Linked DNA regions of Drosophila melanogaster. The protein of the gene in region 2 interacts with the protein of the main gene of each other region in a pairwise test. Each region holds a gene or a part of one and is shown on either strand. Other genes may lie near its edges.

Region 1 (4,881 bases), on a different chromosome or scaffold from region 2:
GATGGCGTGCAGGCCGAGTTCCTTTAACAGCTTGATGGTATCCTTGGAGTTGTTATCGTCGCCCCAACAAAACAGCACCAATCCACGCTCCTTGGCCAGATTCACCTAAAAGCGTCCGTAGCTGAATGATTCACGATTCGAGAGTGGATCATGTTACCTGACTGGGATCTCGCAGCAGGTCCTCCGTGTGTGCCACAACACCCAGGAACTCCATGGCCACCGCGTGCCACACGGCCAGCTCCATGGAGTTGCCCCTGGGGTCCATATACTTCTGGTATTTCGTCGTCCTGCCGAGAGTTAGGAACATGACAGGGTATCGATTTTGCTTGAATCTCAGAATAGTGCAGATATCTGGATCAAAACAACTCAGTACTATCCTGCGATTCCCTGCCTTTCGTAGGATGACATCCAATATGCAATCGATATAGAGATTTCTGTCCACCACATGCTCGAATTCCTCCTCCATTTTGCCGTCCTCTAGCCTCTGAGACCACTTAATTTCTATGTTGAAACCCACATGGACATCTAGGGCATCCAGGACATCGCATAGCTGCGGAAACGGCTGGTGCTCTAAACAATCATCGTTGTGAAACGAACGCGTCTCCCTGGACAGACCCTCAGCAATGTGATAGACTTTCAATTTCTTCAACTGCTCCAGGGACAACTCCCTCATCGGTAGAGCGAGGAAATCGTGCTCCTGCAGACTGCACTTCGACTTTAGTGAAACATAGATCATGAAATCGTGATACACCACTGGCACCAGATCCTTGCTAAGTTGGACATCGAACTCCACCATGTCGGCACCATGCTCTGCGGCATTCTTCAAAGAAGTAATGGTATTCTCCCGAATAACAGCGTCCTTGGCCTTGAAACTAGTTCCGGAACCACGATGGCCCACATCCAGTCCCGTCCACTTGCTGTTCCAGTATCGGGCATAGCTGACACTCATATCCATTAGAGCACACAGCGATGAGGGCTTCACGATAAGATAACCAAGACGCATCATTCCCAGAGGTCGATGGCCCTTGGCACAGGTTATGGGCAGCTCCAAGTTGCCTTCAGAACGTTTAAAAAGATTGGGCAGCACATAATGATAGCCCAAGTGGTTCGGTGGACCATCTTCCTTGGCCACCCGGGAGCTGTAGCTGTACAAATCAATCAGGTAGGCCGTGTTCTCGAAGTCTCCAACGGTCAGATGGAATATAACCAAATCGGTGGGTCCACAGCCGGTGCCGAACTGCTCTTGACTTCTGATTTCGCACTCGTCGGCACTCAAGGTGACGACCTCGCTAAAGGCAAAGGCTGTGGAGGATTCACCGCCGTTCTCCTTGGTATCATGAGTGTCGTTCGACAAGGAATCCTCCATGGGAGACGAGGGCAGCATGGTATCACAGCCGGCACTGGGAATACTCAGGTTCATGGGCGTCACTTTGACCTGGATATGCCTACGTTTCATGCGCTGCTTAAACGTGAACGGAGCATAAAAGAACTTTAGCTGCACCAGAGTCTCCTTGGTCAGCCAGCCCCGATCCACCTTCTCCTGGCCATTGAACGAGCCAAATATGTCACTCTGATTCTTGGCAGGCTGCTCATCCAACTCCTTGACTATTCGGGGCTGTAAGGAAAGGGAATCTCTTAGCAATGTTATTGGGCTAGCTCCAAACCATGAATCCCATACGAGTGCATACAAATCAAATCCGATCCCAGGTCCAGCTGGATTTTTGGACTCTACTCGTATAGGGTCGGTCAGTACATAATGAATTTGTGAACCTGTAATTGCGTTTCCCAACGGCGGACAATCAGCTGCTCCGTGCCGGGATCGACGGCACAGACCATATAGCGATATTCCGTGTCACAGTGACGCGGAATATAGATCTCTCCTGTCCACAGATTACTATACTCATTGTCCTCCTCATTTTTGGACAAAATAGCCGCTCCCGAGTGCTGCCAGTTGCCCAGCGCCTCGCAATTACCCACTATGGCCAACTGCTCGTTGGGCGCCAGATCCTGGTTCATCAGCACCCGAAAGGTCCACAGTCTGTTGGTGGTAATGTCGCCAAAGATCCGGCGGGACTCCAATCGACTGCCGTTTTCCGAGGACGCAGGACAGGATGATGGCGCAGCCATCGCATCCTCATCGCCGTTATGTGAGGCCAGCCAGTTGTGCATTCTGTGGGGATGGATAATAATTAATATCTATATATAATCCTTAGCTATATACACTTTGAATAATAGTAGTTAGCAGCAAAGAACTAAACTAATTGTTGAAACTCAGTATAATTGTATTGTATTGCATGCGCACAAGTAATTTATGCCAACTCTCTCTTTTTTTCGAGTACTACTGTGCTCGTTAGCGTATACGCACTGTACTTCAATTATTTTCAGCTGCGGTCACAAGTTGTTTATTGTATCGAGCGCAAGTAATTCGAAGATATTAACACAACATTAATTTCACTTGCAGTCCGCAATTGTTTTTGGTTTCCCTTATCAGTGGATGACGTAAATAAATAACTTGTATCACTTACTTTGCGTTGTTGTGTGCTGAAATAGAAGAATAAGCCGAAATCGCTTTGTTTGGATTCGATTTCTCGCTCTCCTCCACTTTCTCTCTCTTTGATTTTCCTAGATTTTCTGTGATTTTCCTACGCGTACACGAAACTATAACAAACGTGTGCAAATTGAGGAGTCGCCCGATTTTTTGATCATAGCAGCTGTTTTTGGTTTTTGCTCACGGATTTCAGCTAACAACACATGATGTTTTTCTCTTTTCGTGGCGGGGGGGCTTAACTCTATAATGTGGATATAACTTTATATTATCTGAACGATTTCAGCGCCGCAGGGGCTTCCGATCCCCTTGAAACTGTGAGTTGCATTATTTTGTTATCTATATATCCACTGACCGATTCTAGCGAGGGATGTGAAAAGTATTTGAATGTCAAGATATCGATAGGTTTTTGATGAAGTAAATATTTTCACAATGCTAAATGCCTAAAGCACTTAAAAATAGTAGATGCCTTTTTAGATATATACTACATACTACTTACTTACACGCACTTAAAATACAAGTTTTATATTTGATATTTGAGCGCATTCTCACAGGTTGGCAACGCGAACAGCTGATTTTTAGGGTGACCGTCTTCCGCAACAGAGTATCTCACAGTTTTCGAAAAGTATCTCAGCAATTTAGGCAAAGTTTCTGAACTTTCAGTTACTACTTAATAAAAAGTTTGTTGGTTGTTTACCTAGCTCAAGAGATTCTTTCAGATTTAATTTAATAAAACCGGTAGCTTAGGATTATAAAATTAACTTTGACTTTATTTAATGTCCCTCCCGCGCGAATGCAGCTTAGTAAAAATGAGTCATAGTGTTCAGATCTGCCTACATTCCAGAAGCTTGCAGTATTCAGTAGACATCAGTCGAGCGCAGAAGCTCTTCGTGATAAGACGTCTTCAATTCAAATTTTTTTTATCGAACACACCATGGAGGGGGACAAGGTAGTTTTTCATAGTTCTGATCTACCATACGAATATTTATACGACGACGAAAAACACGTTTCGCACATGCCGGATTCCAAATTAAGTGTACGAAATATTTTGGATTCAGCTTACGCTTCTGCTGAAGGCAAAATTATAACTAGGAAACTTTCGCGCAGCATTCCGCCGTATCCGCATGCTGTTCGAGTAAAAAATGGCATTCGTGTTTATGAATACAGTGAGCCCAGAAAACAGAGCTACAAATCAAGTTTATGGAAGGAGGCCTACAATGTGAGTAGGAATCGAAGAACACATGCTGGACATTTTACTTGCTTTATTTCAGATACTCCACCAGCGGTTGGATATTGCCGAGCCAATCGCAGCAAAGGAACACGTGAGAACGCAGATACATCCGTGTCTGCACAAGATCAAAGGACTTCTAGATCCGGAAACCTGCATCAAGTGTCCGCGGTGTCATAAGTCCATTTCGTCCACCAAAGTTGTGAAAAGCTTTGCATAGTGACGAATGCAAGCCACCTTCAACATATATATCTATTATAGAGGTTCAATATATGCTCAAATCAACACATGCATTTATATATATATATAATATAAACAAAGAATGCAACAGCCCTACAGATGAATCGTCATTTTCTTCTGTCATTTTGCTAGCTGTAATTAAAAGGGAACGGGAAATGTGCTCTCGCTTACTGATTATAGATAATGACTTTGATTTTGAAATAAGGAATGCAAAGAATACTCATTTTCGTATTCACTTCCATTTTGGCGGACTTTCTTTATCAGTAAACAAAGTGGAAGAAGAAGAAACGAGAAAGGTAAACAAGTCAATACAAAACAGTTGTTTGGAAAATGTGCCATAGTTACCAAGTGCCTGCACCAATTTTAATATCAAAACCAATTATTGAAACTAGTTATATAAGTATTTTTATTTACATTCAATGCATTTATAAATAAAATAAATCAAATAATTTAAGCTTACTAAATCAATCAGCTTGTGACAGCCATCACTTTGATAACGATAGTTGGCAACTCTGCCATCGAACAGCTGTTAATGTTTGCCATTTTGGCGCGAAAATACCAGTGTAACAATTTGTTTATATATAATAGGATTTTATTAAGTTGTTTGTTGGACGCTCGTTTGAAACCAGTATGGATCAGTATCCGGACGAAAACGAGGAGTTCGAGCTGCAATACCAAGACGAACTAGAGCTGCTGGAGGACTTGCCGGACGAGTTTAACGCGTACGATGGACCGAGCACATCCAAACAGGCCGCTGAAAAGCAAAAGGAAAACAGAGCTCCCGTTGCGGCACTAAGAGATAGCACCCGTCTTGGAAACTCTACACTGGGATCGCCACAGCTGTCGCAGATTACCTTTGGAGCTAGCC
Region 2 (7,216 bases):
TTCTTTTACAAAACCCATTCCGGCTGGCAGGCAAGTCTGTAGAAATGGCGGTAATTTGGACGAATTTACATGAGGATCCAACTTTAGGGCATCAATCTCGAATTCACAACTCCATCCGGTTGTGGTAACGTCGCAATCTCGGTTTATCTTCGAACAATTCGCACATTGCATTTTTTCATAGAAACTGTGGACGTTGGTAATATAAGCGGCTATAATCCAAAAAAGTTTCCCAAACATATCGGATACCAAATGTGTGTATTTCTTCAAGGACTGCTGGGTTTAAAAATTACATTTTTAAAATTTTAAAAATTAAATTTTTGGAATCAAAGTGCTAATATTTCCAATTAGCACTTAAGCTAACTTAAATCAAGTTTACCCATAACGCTACCTTTTCAACATTTTAACTCTAATTGCATATTTACGTAACCATTTCTCCCCAAAATCAAAATGGAATCAGATAAACAAAATGCGAACTAAAAACCGAAAACCAATCCAAAACCCCACACTTTCAACATAAAATCCCTCCACTTTCGAACCAACCAAAGGCCCCAATCTCATCCCTTTACCCTTCGACTCGCTCTATGTTTGTGTTGTTATATAAAATAAACTATTCCGGAATAACACAAATCATACGGGGGGCCAGAACAAACGAGGCTGGACCATTGCCAGGTCATGTTCCACGTTTCCCCCCCTTGTGCACCACCCATAAATGTTAGTTAACTGCACGTGGATGAGTAGATAAATATGGTATAATGAAAATAAAATAAGAACCAGATAGAAACTTGGTGGAGGGTACGCGGGGGGGCGATAGAAACAACAGCAATCAGTCGTCATTGCAGACATCGCACTAATTTTGAGTTAGTTGTTGGGAAAACATTTTCGGCTTGAGTTTGGGTTTTCCCGAAAATTGGGAGTGAGTCAGTCGGGCTTCATTTTTGTACGTGGGCAAGGAAAATATACTTTGGCACGTTTCTTGTTAGCGAACAGTTTGCTCCATTCCCTGGACTCACTTAACTCTTTTCCTGTCTGGACATTGCATTATATATGTATGTAGTACATATTATGGGTTCTATTTATTTGAGTTCCAAGGTCTGCTCCTTTTCAATTGCTTTGTCTTTCTGTCAGCTTAAAATTGGGAATTAGTTAAATATGTTTATCTTTAATATTAGATTAAAGTAAAGAGAAATCCCTTGTAAGGAGAAATCCGCCTATTTAATCTGCCCAATATCAAGTTATCAAGGTGAAAATCGATTGTATCTAAAATCGTAAGATAACGCCTATGTTAATGTATTCCATAGACTTCCATTCAATTTGATGTCCTTTGCTACCGCATTCAATTCATTTATAGCCACCCGCCATCTTCTTAACTCTGAGCCACTTGGCCAACCATTCATGTCCACTTAGTAATCCATCAAGGGAACATTAAAATCGTCTCATCTGGCTGAGCGTAGGTCGTAAAGAAAATGCATTATAGGGGCATTACGGCGGTAGCGCCAAACTGCCAACCGAGTTATAAAAGCGCCATGAAACGAGACGTTTATTGTTATCGAGATTATTGATTTCTGGCCGGGCTTAAAGCTGCCTTTTGGCCGTTTTGTGGATCGTGGATCGCTGCTCGTCGAGTGCCTTAATTGCTGGCCTAATCATCTGCCAGACTTCCTATAACCTATTGGCCCTCCTCCATACCACCACTCCCTTTGGCAGCCATTAAGGACCTTTCGAGCCTCCGAGCACTCCCACTTTCCACTCTCCACTCAAGTTGATTATGAAGATTCTTTCGTCTTTTGCCTGCTGAACTTGCTAGTTGCTCAACACTCCATAATGATGGCAATTATAGCCTCGTTTTTCCAACAATTTATATGAAATTTGCTGCTGCCAAGCTCACCCCCCTCTGTCCCTAGCCACTCTTTCTCACCAAAGCCACGCCCCTTCGATGGACATTTTCAGCCACTTAGCCACGCCCCATGCCATCAGGCTATCTCTGTCGCGCTTTCGTGTTAACTGCCAGATACTCCATCTTGAAAGCGGGTTTCCAGAGAGCGAGAGAGAGAAGCAGAGCGGTACTGATTGCACCACCGTTGCTGCTTCACACTGGCATTCCGTATCGCGTATATGATACCACGTTTGGCTACCAGCAGCGCACAGTCGTTAATGAGCGCTCGTCGAGTTCGCTTCGCAGGAAATCACAGCTCGCGTTCGCACGCGTGTTCGTAAAATCGTCGATTTCGAAACGTGTTGGAAAGTGTTTGGAAATTTTGAGAATATATACATATATTCGAAAGAGTATAGAAACTGAACTTTGGTGAACCGAGTGAAGCATGTCCAGTGCCCAAGTGTCGCAACAGCCGCCTCCACCGCCGCTGACCGCCAGCAGTAGCACCTCAATGCCGTCGCAATTGCTACTTAGCCACATTCAGCACCACAGCAGCAGTCTGCACCATCAGCGCAGTCATCAGCGATCATCGCCACCTGCCCAGGACTACGATCAGGGCAGCAATCAATCAACACTCTCGCCCAGATCCCAGATAACACCCAGTCCGCCGGCAGCCAGTCCCACGCATTCGGCGGCCACCACAGGATCACCAGTTAGCACCTATACACCGGCCTTGAGTCCCGGTGGTGCACAGGATAGCAGCCAAACGGAGAGTGGTCAGAGTTCACAGATGCCTCTACTAGTGGCTCCCATGCCCGTGGGCACTGGTCCGCCACATTCACATCCACCGCCGCCGCATCCTCGTCTCTATGTGGAGGGTTTCCCGCCACCGCATCATGTGCCACATCCACATCCCGCCCTGGGCACCTATCCTCTGCCACGACTGCCCCTTATGTTACCGGCAAATCCACCAGGTGTGCCATCGGGAGCGGCTGCACCACCGCCCGTCTCACCGCAACCCGCTGCCAATCACCTGAGCCACAGTGGAGCCACCATGGCCACAACCACACTCCTGCCACCCGCCCAAAGTCAGCCCAAGAAATCCTTCTGCATCGATGCTTTGCTGGCCAAGAGCCAACACCAGTCGGGTGAGCCACAGCCCATCATTGTGGATGATCGTCTGGCTGCCCTGCACTATGCCCGGGATCAGGCGGAACTCAATCATGCCTTTGTGACCGCCTCCAATGCGGCGGCAGCTGCTCAGGCGGCTGCCTCGGCCGCCGGCGGCATCAGCGAACAGGAGGCACTGCAGCGCATCCGGGACTCCAGGGAGTACGACTCACCCAGTCCCGACGGCATGTCGAGGTGAGTAAAGAAATTTGGGATGAGCATAACTATAAGGAAGATTTCAGAGGGGGTTTGAAAAGAAAAGCATATTAATAAGGCCTGAAAAACTTATTATGAGTGATCAAAAAATAGATAAAGTTTATTACTAATAACGTTACACTATAAAATGTTTTTAAAAAGGTAAAGGTAACTTGTTTATTATCACTATTACTTAATTTGTTTTAGTAATTAATTTATACTCATGATAAATTTCAATTGTTTATGAAACTATTCATTTGATTGTCTATACTATCTGTCCTGATAATTTAATTAGTCACTTATTACAAAGTCTTACCAATAGCTTTGGGTTAAATAATACAATTTTTCGCCTAATACGAACACTTGCCTCATATTATTACTCATATGCATTACTTTGCTTGCTAATACCCAGAATTTAAAAACGATTCGTATAAAAATGCAGCTCTTACCAAAAATCCCTCAACTTCTTGTTGAAATCCCTTGGCTGGCTACCAAACAAAACCGTGGCACTTGGTAAAAACCATTCTGAAAGCCAAAGCGAAGCCCCAGCGAAGCTCCAAAGCAGCTTTGCTGGCACTCGAAAATATGGCAATGAAAAATGTATTCAATTGGTCAATTCCAATTTGGTCATCAGCCACAGAGATTACGTATACGCCATGTGTCTGCCGTCACAAGTGTGTGAGTGGCTAATTTAAAGTGCGAATTGTGTACAAAGAAGCAAACAAATTAGAGGGAGGGCGGCGGTAATATTAATTGTTTTCAAAATGTGTCGCGTAATTTCGATTGTCGAAATCGATTGGTTAGATAATTCGCAATAAAGGGTGCCCCATTAAGTTTTTTCCCACAATTTTTTTTATTTTTGCAGATCAGAGTCGCCCACTTCGTCGCACCGCTCCAGTCCGCCCATCAGTCCCGGTTGTGAGGATCAGCAGCAGCCCCACGGTGCACTGCATCCCCAGCATCTGTCCATGCGCATGTCCGACTTCCACGACGAGTTCAAGAAGCCAATACCACCCCACAGTCCCATCAGACCCCAGGATTTTCCGCTCTACGCAGGAGGACATCCCTACCAGCTGCTGGCCCAAGGTGGATCCGCCTTCCACAGACCTCTGGATCCCTCAGGGAAACCCATTCCGGTAAGTAAAACATTAAATATATATCAATATTACAAAGTAACTATTGTAATAAAAATTTTAATACGAAATAGATCAATATATACAATACTATCATACAAATCATTTGCATCGTATTTTCCTTATTTATCCATGCAGATACCCATGGGTCATAATTTCATGCCGTCGCAGCTGCAATTCGAATTCCTGGCCCGCGCCGGAATGCTGCACCATCGAATTCCCGAACTGGCCGCCTATCCGCATCATGCGATTCTGGGCAAGACCAGGAGACCACGAACGGCCTTTACATCGCAGCAACTCCTCGAGCTGGAGAAGCAATTCAAGCAGAACAAGTATCTGAGTCGGCCCAAACGATTCGAGGTGGCCAGCGGTCTGATGCTGTCCGAGACGCAGGTGAAGATCTGGTTCCAGAATCGTCGGATGAAGTGGAAGCGCTCCAAGAAGGCGCAGCAGGAGGCCAAGGAGCGGGCAAAGGCCAACCAGCAGCAGCAGCAGCAGCAACAGACGCCCAGTGCCGCCAGTTAGGAGTTGTAGCAGTAAGGAGAAGCAGCCGGAGGATCTGTTGGATCTGGAGGAGTGGTCTCCAATCTAGTCATGCCGCGATCAAACCGCCGTCCCACCATTAAAACGAGACACCCTGTATTCTTGCCCCCAGTTTCATTCGCGCAATCGGTCTAAATCTTTTTTGGGTTTTTTGCACTTTGATTTCGCATTATTATTTTTATTTTGTGCCACAACAACTGGTCACTGTGTGATATATGTGTGTGTATATGTAAACAAGAAATATAAATTAAATTCATTACCCCCTTCTTTTTAGCCCCTTTATGTACATAAACATAAATCTAAATAGGAACACGAACATAAATAACAAAGTAAACATAAATCTAAACTAAATGAGTAATGCTTAAGTAAATAAATTACATTAAATGCGATTAGTTTAGTTGGTAATTTACAATTTGCTTGTGTAATTTGTGTAAATAATTGTAATTATGTAATTGTAGTATTTAATATTAACGAAAACAACAAGAGCCATTAAGAAAAATAACAAATATAAAGTGTATAATAACGCATTGCGATTGAATTAGTTAATTTTCTAGATTTTATTTTCGAAATCAAAATTGGAAAAAATAAATAACTAAAAATATAAGCTTACAAATTTTAATAATTGGGATAAATTAAGGAACACAAATGTGGCAAGGTAAGATATGACTTATAACAACTACTTTAAATAAAACTTAAATTAACTGGAAATCTACACGATTGACTTGCTGAGAACTATTCCACTTAATTCAAGAGAATTTGAAGAATTTTTGATAATACAACTAAAACCATAAACTAATTTTTGCCATAAAAAGCAAAGCAATGATTACGATTGCCAGAAAAATGTATGAAGCGAAATGCACTGAAAAATATCCCAAAGTAACAAGTAGAAATAAACATAATTTATATATATTCTAGCAAATATCTAATCTGACTGGCTTTGAGAGCTGTCTGTGGCTCGAATTTATAAATACACGACGGCCATAAAGAAAGAGCTATTAGCCACATATTCGTATACTACCAATCAAAATTCTACTCAATTTCTCGCCCTTGCGATAATGCCTATCGCAGCAAATAAATCAAAATGTGCGCAGATAATCAAGTTAATTGCTGAGACAATAATTATGACTAAATTTATAGTATCACTTCAAAATTATTTCGCTAATTAAAATGTAGCCAACTTCAGGCGAACAACGAACGCACTTCTTAGTTTCTTGGCTTGTTGATATCGATTTGGTTTATTTATTTTTTTTTTTGGCCTGCGAGTGTGGCAAATTGAAAAAATCATGGTGAGCTTCGATTTCCGGCAGAATAAGAGTCATATAAAGTGTTATTATCAGGCAATACCATACAATTGGTTGGAATACAATACAATACAAGTTTTTGATAACCGCTTGAATTCGGTTTAACGTTCATCAGCTACTGAAGTGATTGATAAGTATTTACATAAAATATAAATTATTATATATATATATATATATGTTTAGTTCTTATCAACGTAATTTTTAATGTAAGCTTCTTTTGAATCTTTTATCAAGCAATCAAATAATATATGATTTAGTTCCTTTATTACTATACATACCATTATCCTGCTCATTGAAGATGACATAAAGTGCGAACTCACTTGGTATTGTTCTAGCCACTTTCGATTGCATTTCCCATTTCCCATACCCAGTACCATTTCCATTCCCACTTCCATTCTGATGAAGAGAACTCGTCTGTCCACTTTATCACGTAATTCTCAAGTATTTCATAGACTCGCACACGACGGACTTTACGGGTTTTATCGACGCTGTTGGTTTGCCTTGAAGTATGCTTTATATTGTTATTATTGGTTGTTTGATCTGTTGCTGTTGTTGCCGTTATTGTTGTTATTATGCAGCAGTTTCTTGTTTTCTGACGGGCTAATAAAAATTCATTTCGTTCCTCTGCTTGCCACTAAACACGTAGCGCATTCTTGGCTGAGTAAATGAGTGGAGCACACATTTCTATAGAAGGGTACATATGTGTGGTACAGTGGGTAAATCGTATGAAAGGCATATACAGTTTTAACTCATATTTAAACTTATCTATCAGATATTAGCTACTCAACAAGAATTTCCAAATTGGGTTGGTTTCTATCCTTCGCTCAGCAGCTTTTCGACAGCTATACAACTTTACTGCTTAATATTTAGAGATCATAAATATAACATCTTTCTATAGTTTTGTAAACTATTTATTAGTTTATAAATATAATAAACACTCAAAAAAAAAAAAACATTACAAAAATATTTTTATATTGAGATTTTAAGCATCCTTCCTTAAT
Region 3 (7,080 bases), on a different chromosome or scaffold from region 2:
GCATCCATACGAGCCGGCATCAGTCGCTTCAGGCCTACAAGCTCAACTCGCAGGCTCGCGATGCCAATATGCAAAGCCATCATCTGGCCAAGAACGTGTTTGAGTTCGTCAAGCTGAAGTACTTGGAGAAGCAACCACCGTCGGTGGCATCCACGCCGCAAATTAGCATAATTGCCGCCGAAATATCGGCGGAGCTGCCGGAGCAGCATGTGGCCAAGTCGGCAACGGCGCGCATTCCAACGAAAACATATCTGGCCAATGGCGAGCCCGTGTTTCCAGTCGTAGTCTTCGCCTGCAATCGGGTGTCGGTGAAGAAGTGCATCGATAACTTGGTTCAGTACAGGCCCAGCGTGGAGCAGTTCCCCATTATTGTGTCACAGGTAGGGATCGAAATGGGCTACCCAATCTAAATCTTATACTTATACTTATGCTCTAATACAGGACTGCGGCGATGAGCCCACCAAGGAGGCAATCCTCTCGTATGGCAAACAGGTCACGCTCATCGAGCAGCCTGATCTCAGCGACATCACAGTGCTGCCGAAGGAGAAAAAATTCAAAGGCTACTACAAGATAGCCCGACACTACGGCTGGGCCCTGAACACCACCTTCGCTGTGGGCTTTGAGTTCGTCATAATCGTCGAGGACGATCTGAACGTGGCGCCCGACTTCTTTGAGTACTTCCTGGGCACGCACAAGCTGCTCAAGCAGGACCCCAGCCTGTGGTGCGTGTCCGCGTGGAATGACAATGGCAAGGCTGCTGTTGTGGACGCCGCGCAGCCGGAGCTGCTCTACCGCACCGATTTCTTTCCCGGTCTCGGCTGGATGCTCACCAAAGATCTGTGGGCCGAGCTGTCGGTCAAATGGCCCAAATCGTGAGTGGGGCAATTATGGTGTTTGCCAGCCAATCGCTAATGGTTCATTAACTGTTCTAGCTTCTGGGATGATTGGATACGTCATCCCGCCCAGCGCAAAGATCGCGTGTGCATTAGGCCCGAAATATCACGCACTCGCACGTTTGGAAAAATAGGCGTTTCCAAGTAAGAGATATAGCTAGCTAACAATGCAACGTGCCAGCTAATAATGATAATTTGTTGTTTAACAGCGGTTTGTTCTTCGATAAGTATCTGAAGCACATTAAACTGAGCGAGGACTTTGTGCAGTTTACAAAAATCAATATGAGCTACCTGCTGAAGGTAGGTACACACCCGTGCATTGTTGCCTCATTACACTAACAACTATTTCATGTTCAGGACAATTACGATAACACGTTTCTGCGGCGCGTTTATACGTATCCCATTGTTACGTACGATGAGCTGCGGCGAAACCTGATTAGGTGAGTTGATATATGATATATAGAAAGTATCTACATAATTCCAATTATGGTGTTGCAGAATCGAAGGTCCAGTTCGCATTCAATACACTACTAGGGAGCAGTACAAGCGGACAACTAAGATGCTGGGTCTTATGGATGATTTCAAGGTAGATCAATCAATCTATGTGCTTGAAACTATGATTATTCTTAATCTTTGTAGAGCGGTGTTCCGCGGACTGCCTACCATGGCATCGTCTCCTTCTACTACAACAAACGGCGCGTGCATCTGGCACCCAACGCCAACTGGAAGGGCTACGAGCTCTCTTGGAGCTAACGACGCTAAGGACAGAGTACCGCCAGCTCCACTTCCATTACCACGCAGCTAGCTCCGCGTGCTTGCAATACCAAAAATAGCCCTATGAGTTTTAATTTTTATTTGACCAATTAGCTAAGTTGTAACTATGGAATCTCCTCGAACAGTAGACGCTGTTCGCAGCCATCGCGTAGGCAGGAGTACTTGGAGTACTAGCCCTGATTTCTGATAGAAAACGCAATTCGTCTGCTCCAGATCCCTAGCCTACGGACCTACTGTTGGCGTAACAAAATCAAATCAAATGAGTCTCCACTATGTATAGTAGTCAACCGAACCGAACTGTGTGTGGCAAGAGCCAAAAGTGTTCCATTCTAGCACACCAGCCACACAAGCAACGCAATGAATTGTAAATAAGTCAGTGTCGTTCGCTTTTGTTACAGCTCTCTCTATCTGTCTATCTCTCTCAATTTATCGTGTTAAATTGCAAATAGTTATAGCAATGGTTAAGTTATAGTATGCAGCGTGTAATTTGTAGCATTTAAGTTGATCCAACTAGAGTTCTAACGGCAACGGACGTGTAATATTTGTGATTTTTGATTATTTAATTTACATTTATTAATTGTTGAGAGCCAGTCAGTAAACAGTACCCGACCCACACAATGTAACATAGAATAGCAATAACTAGCGCTAGTACTAGTACTAGAACCACAACGTAAACTAGACCAGTGCTGAGCCACCAGGGGTACGCCAGTAATCCCGGCCAGATCTGAAAGTGTGCCACTCTCAGCTAGTTGTAATGGAATCAACCCAGACAGGACACCTACTCTACTACCCCCTATGACTACACTTTGTATGAGCATATTTTTGTGTGTATGAGAGACGTACGGAACATAAATTCTAAAGACAACCAATCGCCTTTTCACTCCGCAGCAGGTGGCTCCTCATCCTCGTCCAGATGCTCGCAGTCAATGTCGCTGCACTCGGACTCCGATTGTGTGGGTCTGCGGCTCCGCTGCGCCTGATTTAATCCATCGTGGCCGTAGGCTGTGGCTGTTCCAGCGACTGGCGTGCTGCGTTGTTGCAGAAAGTTGGCATTGGCATCCCCAAAGACGCGTTCCAGTTCGGCGAGGCCATTGGAGGCGCCGCTTTCCGCTTCCGGCGGCAGCGTCGCGTACTTCATTTGCAGATAGCTCTCGTTCGTTGGCAGTGACGCCGCGTAGTCCACATAGCTGGTCGCATACGGCTTGCAGCGAGGGATGTAGCTGGCCGCAGGCACACCACCCGCCGGCGGCTTAGCCACGCCAAAGGGCAGGGCGAAGTTCAAGGGTTGTCCACGTGCCAGTATGGCATTACGGGCACTCTCCATCACACTGGGACCCGGCAACGGTGGCATTCCGCCGCTAGTCGCGTACGGACGCATGGGTGAGCCGGTGGCCGTCGTTGCTGAGGCCATGGGTGCAGCGGAGCCACTGCCATTTAGCATAATGGACTGAATGGGCGTGGGACCCGTTGGCGTTTGGCTAAAGAGCCAAAGGCGATCACCAACCACCATCGGCCTGGCCAATCCCCCGATACCCAGCTGGGCGTAATAGTGCGAGGCCAGCGTTTCCACGTCCGAGGTGTACTTGCGCTTCCACTTGGTGCGGCGGTTTTGGAACCAGATCTTGATCTGAAAAGTGAAATGAATGAATGAATTATTTACGAGGAATGCCAATTGTATCTCATAGATACAAGGGATTTCATTTCATGTTATTAATCGCTTTTAGATAGAATGGCAAACTTTTTTGGGTAGTAATTAAATTTTTTGATAGATTCCACAACTAACCTGCGTTTCTGTGAGCTGCAGCTGCTTGGCCAGTGCAGTTCGCTTCGCCACCGAAAGATACTTTCCCCTTTCGAACTCCGTTTCCAGTGCTTTGATTTGAGCTGCCGAGAAGGCGGTACGCGGTCGCTTTTTGCGGTCATCACCAAGGCCTGCAATGGAATCAAAGTGGGAAATCGAAATCCCAATTAGACATTTATTGCTACCGACAGCGGGCAATCCGGCGCGCGGTGCCAACTATTTTCGCCTAATGGTAATTTGTCGATCCGTTGTTGGCACAGTTGTATGTGTATGTAAAATGCCCCGTCGCACCGCAAAACCCCTGGCAAATTGCAAATCACACTGTTGCATTTCACTTAGCCAAGGCGTCTAATTGGCCATTTTGGCATACATTCTCTTGGCCGACCGAAAACAAATAGCCATATAAATTCCTTCTTAACGGGTGGAAGAATATCTCCTTTGAGATCGCCAGCGATCTTTGTTCGCTTGTGACATTTGCATCATTAGTCGACTGCGTTGGTGTCGACGAAAATGTGGATATGGAATGGATGGCTTATTCCCTGTCACCCAGAAGCTAATTTCTGATCATTTGTTTCTTGATCGCACGGATGACAGATGAGATCATTCAGCCATAGGCACTCACTCATTCGTTCAGGTGGGAAACTCATTGCATATTTACATACAATAATGAACGGCTGTGCTGAGCTCGTTATGGGTGATTCCATTAGGAGGTAAATCATCTTTTAGAGACATTTTTTTTCAGAATTTAAAATTTGTATATTGTAACTGTATTATTTGAAAGATCCTTGATAATTCCTTGAACCTTGATAATACTACACTTAAAAGCACTAAAGCACTGACTATTTGGCTGTTGGTGCTATTTATCCTGATGAAGTTCAGTATAAATCTATATTTTGTATATTTGCTATTTAATAAGGATCCAATTGAGCTTTAAGTTAAGTTTTTAGATCCCAAATCCAATTCCAGACACCAAAATTCTCGTCGTTGTAAAGCTTATATTCCGGCATATCGATCATACGCACCGTTTCCATCATCTGAGGCCAAATCGATATCACTTTTGCCGTCGTCCATGTTGTCATCCAAGCAACTCGATGTTGCCGGACTGGAAGCCCGTGAAGCACCGAGACAATTGCCACCGCGACCGCTTTCATCCTGCACGGAGTCCTCAAAGGAAGTGGAGCTGCGCATTTCCGGCTTGGCCAGAATTTGTTCGATGGAAAAACTGTGTGGATAGCGACGCACTGCCGATTGCGAATTCATGTTTCCGCCGATTGCGAGCGATATATATTTTGAAGATATTCCGGAGACAACAGCGCGCGTGGAGATCTTACGGAAAACTAATTTGAATATGCGGAGCATCCTGCTCACTGGCCGATTTTTCAAGATGATCGCCTGGCGGGGCGGAGCCTAAAATCATATATCTCCGCACCGCTCACACCATATGCGCAAATAGAACGACAGAAAGGAACAGAAACATACTATTCGATTTTCACTGAAGACAGCACACAAGTTCGGTTATTTTTAAAACATGTGTGAAATGTTTGGGATGAGGGGCGTGGCTCGCGTTCAACGCCGTCTTCTGGGTTTTCGAAATTGTTTTTGTCGCCTTGCCCGTGATTAAAAGTCATAATTTTTGGCTAATTGTCTACAAGTAGCGCTATTTAATATTTCGATGGCTTTGCTAAATATATTTAATACGTTTGCCAACATATTTCATCCATTTGATTAATGAACGGCGAGCAATTTCTTTGACTGGATTTGTTTTCAGTGCTTTGGTGTGCAGGCACGTGTCCTCTTTTGGGTTAATTCAGAATTCTTTAAACAATGCAGCATTCAAAAAATTGTATTCAAATGTACAAATGGTTTCTTTGTCGATTTTTTGGAATTTTTTAAATCTCTTAACAAAGTAATACAAGGCCATTAGTCTAAGTGATTGTAACGCAATGCATAATTGGGTTCTACTAGCTTGAGAAACATTTTTAATGTGTATAATATATTCAATTTAAATCTGAGAAACAGTAATTTTGAAGCACAACATTTTTTGAATCATAACTTAATTGTTGAGTTTTTAGAACACCTTCCTTACAGATATTTCATATTATAACTTTCTATTTCTTTGAATCCCAATCCCAAGCCCCCTGTAAAAATTTCATTAATTCGAAATTATGAACACATAATTCAGACAGAATGGAAAATGGAAAAGGGGCACTCAGGATCCGAATGGAGGGGAGGATCTGAGAAATTAGCCGGCGGCCTGGCTGACACTAGTTTCCAATTGGCCAGCAGCCAAATCCACAACATCTACTGGGCTACAGGGTGCCCATTCCTGGATGCGCGGATGCCCCATGATAACGTCTTCATTATTCAGGCGCGATTTGAACAAAATATCTGAAAACACGTTAATTAGTCGCCGAGATGGCGGAGCAAAAAGGGGAAAGGGGACGAATCGCAGGGCATCCATTTAGCCGGCCGGGCTGTCAGTTTGATTTAATTTAATGAGAATTCTGGCGGGGATTCGGATTCGGTTGCGGATGCGGGGGGGATCTAGATCTGCTTATGAGGCCGCATGCCCGAGTGTCGCGGGCACTCAAATCAAAATGACAACTTAATTTTCATAATTGCGCTTAATGAATATTCGACTATTGCTTGCCATATTTCAAATTCCACTGCCAAACAGAATGCAGACTTTGTTTCGACTTCGTCATTTTTGAGTATTTACCAATTTGTTGGCTACTTTATAACCTATCTATCCATGGGTATCTATGGAATCACATTCAAGCCGAACATCTGAACATAAGTATTCTATTCTATCTTGTTTTGGCTAAGTCAATATATTAAGTTTCCTAACTGGATCAGAGAAATCTGAGGAAGGAAATGAACTTGCAGATATGTTTAAGTATTATTATAAGATTCTCAGCATAACATATTTTGCATACCTCTTACCACTTTGCACTGGAATTTGCCTCTGGAATTTCGAATCAATTAAGGATCTTTTGGCCCTTATTGCGTAAGACGACAACCATAACCTTAGGCTAACTAAAGATCAGTTTGTTTGGTTCTCGCATTTAAGACTAAATGGAGCGCAGTCGCGTCAGAATTTAATTAATAACCGAGCATGCATCTTCATTATAAATCATCACTTCTCGAGTGTTTGTCAGGCGCACGCAGCATAAATCACGTCCGGAGTTGCACTGGCAGTCGCGTGGAACAGTCCGTCCTCCGGCCAGAATTTCAATGTTTTTTGTGCCCTCTTTTTGTCATCGCATCCAGCTAATGATGCATCAAGTCCTGCAGGGTGTTAGCTACATCTAACTGCTGCCTCGCTGCCACATCGATCATTGGGCTGCTCCGGACTAACATCTGTATCTGTATCTGAATCTGTATCTGGAACGGGCATCGGTGACACTCCCACGCCATTGACTCTCGGATATTCGTGTGGTTTCCGATTACGCCGAAGGTGATGTTGGAACTCCTTTTGCGGGCGAGCATTGAACTCCTTGGGAAACTGTATCCTGATTGATTCGTTGGGCTGTCTATTTGTTTGCCTCGAGGCTAATTTGTGTGAAGACCTATTAGAGCTGGTTATGGAAATATGATACCATGATTAGGTAC

What was found.
Region 1: the proteins of exex (region 2) and CG31955 interact in a two-hybrid assay, tested with the Drosophila melanogaster proteins (one large-scale study listed by BioGRID).
Region 3: the proteins of exex (region 2) and lms interact in a two-hybrid assay, tested with the Drosophila melanogaster proteins (one large-scale study listed by BioGRID).

Annotation. Positions count from the first base shown.
Region 1 is NT_033779.5:3,711,381-3,716,261, reverse strand, and holds CG31955 (uncharacterized protein), read left to right. Parts: upstream 1-3,395; 5' UTR 3,396-3,479; coding exon 3,480-3,764; intron 3,765-3,816; coding exon 3,817-3,993; 3' UTR 3,994-4,036; exon of another isoform or gene 4,037-4,108; intron 4,109-4,193; 3' UTR 4,194-4,381; downstream 4,382-4,881. Other genes in the region: CG2818 (uncharacterized protein), read right to left, coding at 1-105, 158-1,615, 1,771-2,169; cutlet, read left to right, coding at 4,644-4,881.
Region 2 is NT_037436.4:7,946,048-7,953,263, forward strand, and holds exex (extra-extra), read left to right. Parts: upstream 1-2,138; 5' UTR 2,139-2,318; coding exon 2,319-3,238; intron 3,239-4,103; coding exon 4,104-4,374; intron 4,375-4,509; coding exon 4,510-4,896; 3' UTR 4,897-5,516; downstream 5,517-7,216. Other genes in the region: CG43880 (uncharacterized protein), read right to left, coding at 1-237.
Region 3 is NT_033778.4:20,554,606-20,561,685, reverse strand, and holds lms (lateral muscles scarcer), read right to left. Parts: upstream 4,810-7,080; 5' UTR 4,729-4,809; coding exon 4,491-4,728; intron 3,600-4,490; coding exon 3,451-3,599; intron 3,295-3,450; coding exon 2,545-3,294; 3' UTR 1,733-2,544; downstream 1-1,732. Other genes in the region: Mgat1 (mannosyl (alpha-1,3-)-glycoprotein beta-1,2-N-acetylglucosaminyltransferase), read left to right, coding at 1-380, 442-872, 933-1,037, 1,103-1,193, 1,251-1,333, 1,392-1,479, 1,533-1,646.